Danio rerio: one gene and its partners. The protein of the gene in region 1 binds, or shares a complex with, the protein of each later gene. Links are inferred from orthologs where the notes say so. Each region holds a gene or a part of one and is shown in the gene's direction. Other genes may lie near its edges.

Region 1 (3,657 bases):
GCTAAGGGTTGTCAGGCACCAACATTTTTCAAAATGTCTTGTTCTGAACGAGTAAATGATGATTAATTGTTCATTTTTGGGTGAGCTATCCCATTAGGTCAAACCCCTTATCGTTTCTGTAGAAGTACACTATTTTTATTTGTAAAACTGAATTCTTTGTCACAGACTGAAACCATAAATTGTTTTAGATTTTTATCTTGTATATTATCATTATTATTGTTGTTCATTTATTTTTATCTTGTGTATTATTTACTGCTGGTGATGACTTCTAATTGCTATAATATTTTTATAATCATATGCCAATGCCATGACATAGCCAAAGAAGCTGATATGGCAATAAACTCAATTTCTTTCTCTTATCACAGACCGCTGTGTCCAAGTATGAAGCCACCAAGCAGAAGAGGAAGTTTTCTTCTTTTTTCAAGTCTTTAGTGATCGAGTTGGACAAAGACTTGTATGGACCTGACAATCATTTGGTTGAGGTGAGAATCAGAAATTGTGTTTCTCAAGTATAGTACTTTAAACTTAGTTTATTGCTGTGCTGTCCAGTAGATCCTCACTGCTGTCACTTATGTGCCATTTCTCACATCTTTGTCTTCATTACAGTGGCACAGAACAGCCACAACTCAGGAGACAGATGGATTTCAGGTCAAGAGGCCTGGGGATGTTGGGGTCCGCTGTACTGTACTGCTCATGCTGGACTACCAGGTAAACTTCAATTATAGTTGTGCACATGGTGTGTTTATTAGCATTTTTGTTCAAAAATCACCAGCAGATGGCGCCACCTCTTCTTGAGACATGCTTGAACTGGATATTATTTAGATTAAATGTGACTGATGGACGAAATCATTCTCTTTCTAGCCCCCTCAGTATAAGCTGGACCCCCGCCTGGCCCGGCTGCTGGGGATTCACACTCAGACCCGGCCTGTGATCATTCAGGCTTTGTGGCAGTATGTGAAGACCCACAAACTCCAGGACCCTCATGAACGAGAGTTCATCAACTGTGACAAATACCTCCAGCAGGTAACGAATGTCATGGACTTTATTTATGGGAACTAGTGAATGAAGACTTAAACTGGAAATACCCGTTTAGACAGAAGTGGTGACGTCTGACAATTATAAACTTCTTTAGTTGATAATTAAAGACTAGTAAAAAATTTCAGTATTATCAGAAAAAAACTACTGTGAAACTAAACTTTAAAATATTTGATCCTGAACGGCTATAGTTCAACTTAATTCATTTAATAATTGGCACTTCTACTTGGTGTAGGTCTTTGAAACAAACTCCTTTTACAATTCTTCTCATTCTAGATGTTTGAAATCCATTAATTGACTTATTTTATTTTAGATCTTCGTTTTAAGTTTTAATTCTTATTATAGATCGTACAACCAATAATAGATAGTTCTAGATTTTTGACAGCGGTTGGTTCTTCTCAGTGACTACGTTTACATGGACATCAGTAATCGAGTTATTTGCCTTAGTCTATGGACTGTTTTATCCTATCACAAAACCCGGTGAGAAGTCCTACATGACGGTAATAGTTTGATTAAGGTTTTTACATGTCTGTACCGCACTTCAATAATGCGACTGAAATCGGCATACTCCACACGTCTTAATTCTATTTCTCTTTAGTTCAATTAAGACCTTAATCGGATTAAATTAATCAAAAATCGCTTTTAACTTTTAATCGCATTAAAATCGAATTATTGGTGTCCATGTAAGCGTACTGAGTGTAAATATTGTTGGTTCTGATTATTATTATTATTATTTAAATATTTGCAAAACCCATTGTCAGTTCTTCTTATTCTAAAGGTTTTAAATTCAATTTACTTTTTTTTTTAAATTCCTCAGAACTTGTAAACAATAATAGCTGGCTGTTTTTTCTGGATTTTTGTAACCTTGTAATTGTTCTTCTCATTGTCAGTCTTACAATTCCAGAAGTTGTTTTATTTCTGCTTGTTCTGATTTTTTTTTAATTTTTTAAGTTTAACAATTTATACCATGTGGTTTTAATGCTTTGAAACAAACCCTGTAATTGTCAGTTCTTTTTCCAGATGTTATAAATCCAATAATCAACAGGTGGTTCTTTCTAGATACCTTATACTAGATGGACCTGATAATTGTCTGTTCTTCCAAATGTAGATCTTTAAAATCCAGTAGTTTCGTGTCTTCGTGTGTAATTTGAACCTATTAACACTTGTTTTTCTCAATGTAGATTTTTGAAACCCAGAGGATGAAGTTCTCTGAGATCCCTCAGCGGCTGCATGCCCTACTGATGCCTCCAGAACCAATCATCATCAACCACGTCATCAGGTACCCACTGATAACATGTTAGTCAGAATCACTATCTTTCCTTATCTGCTACGTCATCTAAACTGCTGTTTACTTCTTAGCGTTGATCCCAATGACCAGAAGAAGACTGCATGCTATGATATTGACGTGGAAGTGGACGACACCCTGAAGACCCAGATGAACTCTTTCCTGCTTTCCACGGCCAGTCAGCAGGAGATTGCAGGCCTCGACAACAAGGTTCGAAAGTTTCACCATGTTCGGAAAGTTATGTCTTTGTTCTGGCTGAATAAACAGTCCTCAAAGTGTTTGGCGAGCCGTCACAGGGGGAAAGCGTTACTTTTTTCTGCTCTTTTGTTTTGTGGCTTGGTCTGCTGCATATCAAAGTGACTCTTGGCAGTGGTCTGAATGTTTGAGCAGATTTGTTTTGTATATACAAGAGGTGTGGTGCAGGAGAAAGGGTTCTGCTTTCCATCATGTTTTGTCATTGTTTTTTAAAGTGTCCTAATATTGTGTTTGAGTCCCTTACAGCAGGTTTAAATGCATTTAAGTTGAGAAAATATTGTAATTTTCTCAGAATATGCCAATTATAAGAATCATTTTACAATGATTTTGATGTTTGTTTGAAAATTTAGGCTGTAAACCCCTTTCTTAAATAAGACAACTCTGCTGTCATTGGACAGCTTGCCATTAAGGCCCCGTTTACAGTAATGCATTTTAGTTTTAAAACGCATAAGTTTTGCTACGGTTAAGCCATCCATCCACACTACGCCGGAGTTCTCGAGCGCCGAAAACTGAGCGTTTTGAAAACGCTGGAGAGGCCGTTTTCATTCTAAAAAGCTGCTGCTCCATTTCAGTGTGGATGAGGAAAAACGGAGACATCTGAAAACGGAGGCGGGGCTGCTGAGATTCGCTACCTGATTGAGGCTTTTGTGTCATTGCGTATCCTTCCCTCCTTCGTCAAGTTTCTATCACATGACTATAACACATGGCTTTAATGCTACTGGAAGTTAGTACTGAAAACAACAACATGGACACAGAAATGGGAGCGTTGTTTGCACTATTGTCTGTTTTAGGCGCCACTGTGCAGTTATTCATTTGTTACGTTCGGTAACAACTCGACCTCGTCGTCTGTCCACAAAAATACCTCTCTTGCTTTCTTTGCCCGACGCGTTTAATGTACAACCGGCGTTTGTTGACTAACAATAACCAAATGCCGAGCGAGACGCATGCTTTCTGTTTATACTAGAACTCGCATACCCAGAGTGCGCGAATGGTCACGTGATATACGTTTTTGGTGGCGTAGTGTGGACGGAGATATGTTCAGAGACGCTAGGTGAAACGCTAGTGTGGATGCAGATTGTTTT
Region 2 (3,757 bases), on another chromosome or scaffold:
AATGAACCGCAAACTTATCCAGCACGTTTTACGCAGCGGATGCCCTTCCAGCCGCAACCCATCTCCAACACACTCACACACTACCGACAATTTAGTCTATCCAATTCACCTGTACCACATGTCTTTGGACTGTGGGGGAAACCCACACGAAGGCAGGGAGAACATGCAAACTCCACACAGAAATGCCAACTGAGCCGAGGTTCGACCCAGCGACCTTCTTGCTGTGAGGCGACAGAACTACCTACTGTGCCACTGCCTCGCCATGAAGAATATATATATATATATATATATATATATATATATATATATATATATATATATATATATATATATATATATATATATATATATATATATATATATATTACTTTTTATATGGTATGCAAAAAATTGTATCCACAAACAAAATTTCGGAAATCCTTTACCTCATTTGCCAATTGTTAATTGAAATTGATTTCTTGCTTAAAGCAAAAATTCTGCAAGTTAATAGAAACTTATGAAAATATCATGCTTCCAGTAAGTTAGTTTTTAATACTTTCTGTGTTTTTTATTTACTTTTGTACTGTCCCCTTTCTTTATTTTATTCTCTTTTTTCTTTTCTTTATTTAATTTTTTCTCTTTCTATTACTTTCTGTTCTTATCACTTTGTATTTGTATGTACTTGTGTTCCAGTCTCCTACATATTACTTCCTGATTTATATTGTACATTTCTTCTTTTCTAAATAAAAGTTTATTTAAAAAAAAAAAAAGTTTTAATGAAAAAAAAAAAAAAAAAAAAAAAACAGACCTCCCTGAATAATTAGTTTTTCCACTTTATGGGGGGGGGGGTCCCTTTGGTCCAAACACTGGTCCAACAGTCACATGAACTCTCTTATGTTTAATAAAGATGAGATTGATTAAAATGTGATGTGAGGAAATCCAAAATTGTTAACCGGCCGCGCCGTGTTTTCCAGCAGACTCTGCGCAGAGAGCTGAAGGAGATGCTCGATAATGCCATGCTGGAGCAAAGGGGCTCCGGCAGGGGTCTTATACGCACATTTGTACACGCTCACATTTGCCTCTGTGGGAATGGGGAAGTTTGATATTAGAAATAAACTTTCCAGTTTGCGAAAATGCGTTGAAGTCTCCGCTCGCCTCAGAGCAGTACCAGTTAAACGCATATTGGTGTCATTTGTCTTCGTCTCAAACGCATCAGTAATTGTTTTCACAGCTCGTGCCCAGCACACATTCACCCACTGACAGGACAGCGGTGGCGAACGCTCCATCCTCAAATCGCAAGCCCACATATATATAGCTATACCGGCGTGAATGAGGAGAAAACTGTGCGATATGGGGCAGACGATGGCACAGCGCTACCCCAATGAATAATGTAGATGGGCATCAGCAGCGTGCGGCTATAGAGTCTGCGAAAACACAGACGCTGGGGGAAATAAACCTACAGACTTTAATGCTCGTTTAAACGCGACTTCGAGTATGGAAACGGGTCTGGTCGCGAATCATCAAGTGAAAAATGTTGGACGCGGAGATCCCCCTCCTTCGCCTCATCATCGCACACCTCCACAGCAACAGTCGCGAGCATTCCATCAGCAGCACCAGCAGCGAGCCGCGCACAACAACAACAACATCTCCATCACCATCCACAGCAGCAGCAACCGCGCAGATCCGCAGCATGGAGGAAAAGAAGACGCTCTGGAGGCGCAGGTCGATCGCCATCCGCGTTTGCTGAACACAGGCGACGAGGAGGATCGCTCGTCCAAAACCGGGGGGGATCGAATGGGCAGCAGGTACGAGCACTCCAACTTTGGACCAGCGAGCAACAATAACAACAACAACAACAGCGGCGGCGGAGGCAGCGCGTCCCAAAGCGGGAGCAGCTCAGTTTCTGAGTTTAATAATTATTACGGGAATGGAAGAGGAGGGCCTTGCTTTGATCAACATGGCGGACAACAAAGCCCTAGGACGGCTTTAATACATCAGGCACCGGGCAACATGGATCAAGTGCAGAACTCCCACGAAGGGTACCATAATAATCCGTACAACCACTATCCCAACTACCGGCCGGGGTACGGCGGCGCTGGATACGGTATGATGAGCCCGTCGCGGCAGGGGAACATGATGGGCCCAGGTACCAATTCGCCTACCGCTGCTGCTGCTAGCCATGGCAAGGCTGCTATGGCCTCGACCACCCCGGCTCCTGGTGCCAATGTTGGGAGCTTTCAGAGGTTTCCCGGACAAAACCAACAGCACCCTTCTGGAGCTACACCCACCCTGAACCAGCTCCTGACATCCCCGAGTCCGATGATGCGGGGATACGGTGGCGGCTATCAAGATTACAGCAACCCGCCATCGCAGCAGCAGCAGTCGGGTATGGGTTTGGGCAAAGACATGAGCTCCCCGTACAGCCCAGCTGCCAGCCACAGCTGGGCAGCACAACAAAGAAACCACCCGGCAATGAGCCCCGGGAACAACGGCAACAGCAGAGCCCAGGTGAACGCTTTAGCTTTCCTTATGTGTGTGTGTTCAAGTTTCGCATGCAGGTCTAGCTGTGGCCCGATGCTACCCTTAATATCAGCTTGGAATGTATTAGTTTACGTTCATTGAATGCACGTGACGTGCATGAACAGTTAAATAACATGCTGATGTTGATCAGGCTTTGTTATTTCCCAGTTTTGGGCTTGTCTGTGGCTTGACAGGCAGCAGAACATGCCAAGTTCTGCCCAAGGTGACTGTGCTAACAGTGTTAGCATGTGTTAGCCTGCACCGAGACTTCATATATGCTTAGAAAGATTCCTATTTCAGCAACCGGATATGCAGCGCGGCTTATGTTCGTATACACAGTAAAACAATGAAGCATAATCACTATTAAATCCGTGTCATGTTATTGAACACATGATCGGCTGCGATTCCGCTAAAGATCTCGATCGGTGCAGTTCAATGATGGAAGATTCTAGCATTGCGTTGCTACTAAGTAAAAAACCCACTGCTAACGCTTTTTATTCACTCGAATAAAGCGACTAATTGAGTTAACGATTCTTTCCATATAAAAATTCGTTTTCGTTTTTGACGTATGGTTACCGGTTAGCACTGTCTGTCTGAAACTAAGTGCTAGACGGCGTTTTCAGAGCACAGGGCTACTGATTAGCATTGCTAGCTTGTATTAGCGCCATTGCGCCCGTCTGGCTTCACTTCATTATGCAGTAATTAATGTTTTCACATTCACCTCACACTCACTTGCTGTTATTTCTTTAGGCTATCTGTACATGGTTTTATACACGAAAATCTTTTAATTTATAAGATATGATAAGGCGGGCTGGTGTATTTCAAAACCTAGGCAGCTCACTGGGTTTTGTGACAACATTAAACTAGTATTTGTCTAGGTAGGTGACTCACTAGACTTCAGCATACTGATGCCTAAAATGCTGTCTAGCTAGGCTGTGTATAATGTAAAAAAACAATAATATCCAAAATAGTATGAATATAATGTCTTAACATCCTAGTATTTTTGTTTTGAGTCAGATGTTAACAGTCTATAGGTAGCTTCAATAGTTTATCACCTTGGATTATACATTCAAGCTATTCAGGTTACTAGTTTTCATGTTCGATTTTAGTGATAAATTGACTTCGCTGCTTAATATGTTTTTATGCGTGTCTAGAGGAAAAGCTGATGAATCTATTGGAATAGTTTAGCATAAATTAATATTCATTCAGCTAAATGCTGTAGGCTGTTTCTTTGTCAAACAATAAATGCTGGTAATGT
Region 3 (3,657 bases), on another chromosome or scaffold:
TATAGACAGGTGTATGCCTTTTCAAATCATGTTCAGTCAACTGAATTTACCACAGGTGAACTCCAATTAAGCTGCTGAAACATCTCAAGTGTGGAAACAGTGGAAACAGAATGTACTTGAGCTCAATTAAGAGCTTCACGGCAAAGGCTGTGAATACTTCTGTTCATGTGATTTTTCAGGTTTTTTATTTTTAATAAATTTGCAACAATTTAAAAATTTTTTTTTCACATTGTCATTATGGGGTATTGTGTGTAGAATTTTTCCATTTTGGAATAAGGTTGTGACATAAAAAGTCTTAACATACAAAATATAAAAAAGTGCTTTGAATACTTCCCGGATTCACTGTATATGACGGAATAAATAAAAGCGTTAATCAGAGGCAACATTCAGTTCCTTCCCTGCCAACTAGCTAGCAATTTTATGCAGGACAATTAACCTCATGACACAGCAAAACAAGTAAAGCAGTTCCTTAAAGTTTTATTCTTTAGGTGATGAATTAATCTATAGAAAGTTAAAGTTGAAAAGGAAAAGTTAGTTTTGGTAATCTTCCTTTTGCTTCTTTGTTTGGAGTGATGGTCTTTCTCTGATGAAGTCAGTTTGACAGCTTCAGCCACAATATTCTTAACCACGCCCCTCTTACTGTTAATTTGCTATGAGGGAATGATGCACTGAAAGCCCCACCCCCTACTCAATATTCCGTTTTAGTTGAAAGTACATGAACAGTAATACAGGGGTAAATAAATCTTTATTAACATTGGTAATAAAAGTCTCAACAACTTCCAGTTCACATGGATTTTCAAGCTATTAAGGCGATTGTGCTACCCACTGCACCACCATGCTGCCCCTGAAGTCATTCAAAGCAATTCAAATCTGTCATTTTTGCTTTAAATTATTTAAAACCTCATTGTTATTTTTGTGGGAATGACGATCATATTTTCTCATGTAACATCCTAATAAAACAAATGTATAAAAAAGAAAAGGTTACAGTAATGCCGTAATAAATGAATCTTTGTTAACATTGGTAATAAAAGTGTCAGCAACTTCCAGTTCACATAGGTTTTAAATAAAAATATTGACAATATGAAAGGACAGCCTAGAGTCCTGATTTACACTTGATTGAAAGTCCTTAATAGGATGTTAAGGTCATTTAAAGCTATTTAAATCTGTCATATCTGCTTTAAATTATTTAAAACCTCATCGTCATAAAACAAATGTATAAAAAAGACAAAGAATTTAAGTAATAAATTAATCTTTGTTAATATAAGTAATCAAAGTCTTAGCAACTTCCAGTTCAAATGGCTTTTTAAAAATACTGACAAAATGAAAGGACAGCCTAGAGTCCTGAACTAAACCTAATTAAAAATCCATGGTGAGATGTCATTCAAAGTTATTCAAATCTGTCATATCTGCTTTAAATTTTTTAAAGCCTCATTCTTGACACATAGGTGAAACCTACTGGTTTGAAGAATTTGAGAAAGTACAAGGATTTGAAATGGCAGTGAATTAGTATTTTGGTATTTTTGTCATGCTTAAAGGGTTAGTTCACCCAAAATTGAGAATTTGGTCATCATTTACTCCATTATTTACCCCATTATTGCTTCAAATCTTAAAGAGTTTATATATTTTTTTCTGTTCAGCATAAAAGAAGATATTTTGAAGAAAGCTGGAAACCTGTAACCATTGACTTCCATAGTATTTGTTTTTCCAACTATAGAAGTCAATGGTTGTTGGTTAATGGTTTCAAACATTTTTCAAAATATCTTCACCAGTGTTTAAAACAATAAAGACTCTCACAAAGGTTTGGAACCACTTGAGGGTAAGTAAATTTACATGTTTGGGTGAACTTTGTTTAATTAGAGCCTTTAATATGTCGTGAAATGTTTCATTTTGTGACAAGATTTTTGGTAAATAAACTATTGGTATACTGAATGACTTGTTAGTTTGCATCTTTAGTCGTGGCTAACTGATTTTCATAGTCATTATTTCATTGTTTAGAGAAAATAAAATGAAACAGGCCACAATCTCGTACATGAGAGGAAAAAAAATAACCTGTATTAAACTTAGATTGTTTTTGAAATGTTTCCAGCCTTGGTGAGGAGTTTTATCGTGAGGCGATTGAGCACTGCCGCAGTTATAATGCTCGACTTTGTGCCGAACGCTCCATGCGCCTGCCCTTCCTCGACTCCCAGACAGGTGTAGCACAGAGTAACTGCTACATATGGATGGAGAAGACTCACCGTGGGCCAGGTGTGTGTCTGTGTGTATCCTACTACACAGGTGACTTTAACATAAGTTTTGGGTTTTGGGTGTTTATGTGGCCACTCTGCATCTGTTTGACCCAGGTGTGGCTCCAGGGCAGCTCTATACCTATCCTGCACGGTGCTGGAGGAAGAAGAGACGGTTGAACATCTTAGAGGATCCACGTCTTGGACCCATCGAGTTTAAAATCGGTAAAATTAAACTAAATGTTTGATGTTTTTGTAAGTATGACAATCGTATTTTTCCACATATCATCCTAATAAAAAATGTATAAAAATTAAAACGGTTACAGAAATGCAGTAAGAAATGAATCTTTGTTAACAGTTAATGAAAATAAAGTCCTACATTGTTAGTTAGCTCACAGTGCATTAACTAATGTTAACAAGCCTAAAGATATTTTAATAATTCATTATTCTGTGTTGAACGATAACAAAAGGCAACACACTGTTATACTACATAAACTTATTATTCTCTTTCCATCTTTTTCTGAGACTAGTTTCTATATGCATCTCCTCCTAAACCATTCAAGTTACAAAGACCAAACTAACTGCAAACCTCCAAACTGCTCTGACTCGGGTTGCTATATCTTTTCCAACTTGTCAGAAAAAATGACCCGGAAGTTTCGGAAAAGTCCCATTGACTTAACATTAGACCAAACTATGTGACCTCATAACTCTGCTCCAGACTGTCATACAGAATTAAGTTTGGGCTCATTTAACTCAGACTACTAATCTGCCAATCAATGATATATTTTAACTTAGTAGCCACACCCTAGCAACCACTTACAGTACCCTAGCAACTGTTCCATAGACTTACATTGTAAAAAAATTGCCATTGACTTTACATTGAACATACTAAAGACATACAAATTCATAATAGCAATATACTAATCCATGCTAGAACTATGCTAATTCAAATTAGAATCATGCTAATTTATGTTAGCAACTGCCTAGCAGCCACTCAGAACACCCTAGCAACTTCCTAGCAACACCTTAGCAACTGCCTAGCAACCACTCAGAACATCTTAGCAACCGCCTAGCAATTAATCAGAACACCCTAGCAATGACTTAGAAACTGCATAGCAATCACTCAGAGCACCTTAGCAACTACATATCAACACCTTAGCAACCACTTAGAACACCCTAACAACCACCTAGCAACACCTTAGCAATGACCTGGAGTATCCTAGCAACCGCCTAGCAAAGCCTTTGCCACCACTCAGAACACCCTAGCAACTCCTTAGCAACTGCCTAGCAACCACTCAGGACACCCTAGCAACCACTCAGAAAATCCTAGCAACTGCCTAGCAACACCTTGCAACCACATAGCAACACTTTAGCGACCATACAAAACACTCTAGCAACCGCCTAGCAAGAAACATGCCAATCCATACTAGAA

The links.
Region 2: smarcd1 (region 1) and arid1b share a complex: the UniProt entries of both Homo sapiens proteins name them as parts of the neuron-specific chromatin remodeling complex. The link is inferred for Danio rerio from reciprocal best matches to the Homo sapiens genes SMARCD1 and ARID1B.
Region 3: smarcd1 (region 1) and dpf1 share a complex: the UniProt entries of both Homo sapiens proteins name them as parts of the neuron-specific chromatin remodeling complex. The link is inferred for Danio rerio from reciprocal best matches to the Homo sapiens genes SMARCD1 and DPF1.

What each region holds. Positions count from the first base shown.
Region 1 is NC_133197.1:7,406,876-7,410,532, reverse strand, and holds part of smarcd1 (SWI/SNF-related matrix-associated actin-dependent regulator of chromatin subfamily D member 1), read left to right. Parts: intron 1-73; exon of another isoform or gene 74-124; intron 125-365; coding exon 366-482; intron 483-606; coding exon 607-708; intron 709-861; coding exon 862-1,023; intron 1,024-2,216; coding exon 2,217-2,314; intron 2,315-2,394; coding exon 2,395-2,530; exon of another isoform or gene 2,531-3,657. UniProt on the Homo sapiens protein: Involved in transcriptional activation and repression of select genes by chromatin remodeling (alteration of DNA-nucleosome topology).
Region 2 is NC_133195.1:5,200,533-5,204,289, reverse strand, and holds the start of arid1b (AT-rich interactive domain-containing protein 1B), read left to right. Parts: upstream 1-1,002; 5' UTR 1,003-1,473; coding exon 1,474-2,487; intron 2,488-3,757. UniProt on the Homo sapiens protein: Involved in transcriptional activation and repression of select genes by chromatin remodeling (alteration of DNA-nucleosome topology).
Region 3 is NC_133190.1:16,350,305-16,353,961, reverse strand, and holds part of dpf1 (zinc finger protein neuro-d4), read left to right. Parts: intron 1-2,086; coding exon 2,087-2,247; intron 2,248-2,342; coding exon 2,343-2,450; intron 2,451-3,657. UniProt on the Homo sapiens protein: May have an important role in developing neurons by participating in regulation of cell survival, possibly as a neurospecific transcription factor. Belongs to the neuron-specific chromatin remodeling complex (nBAF complex).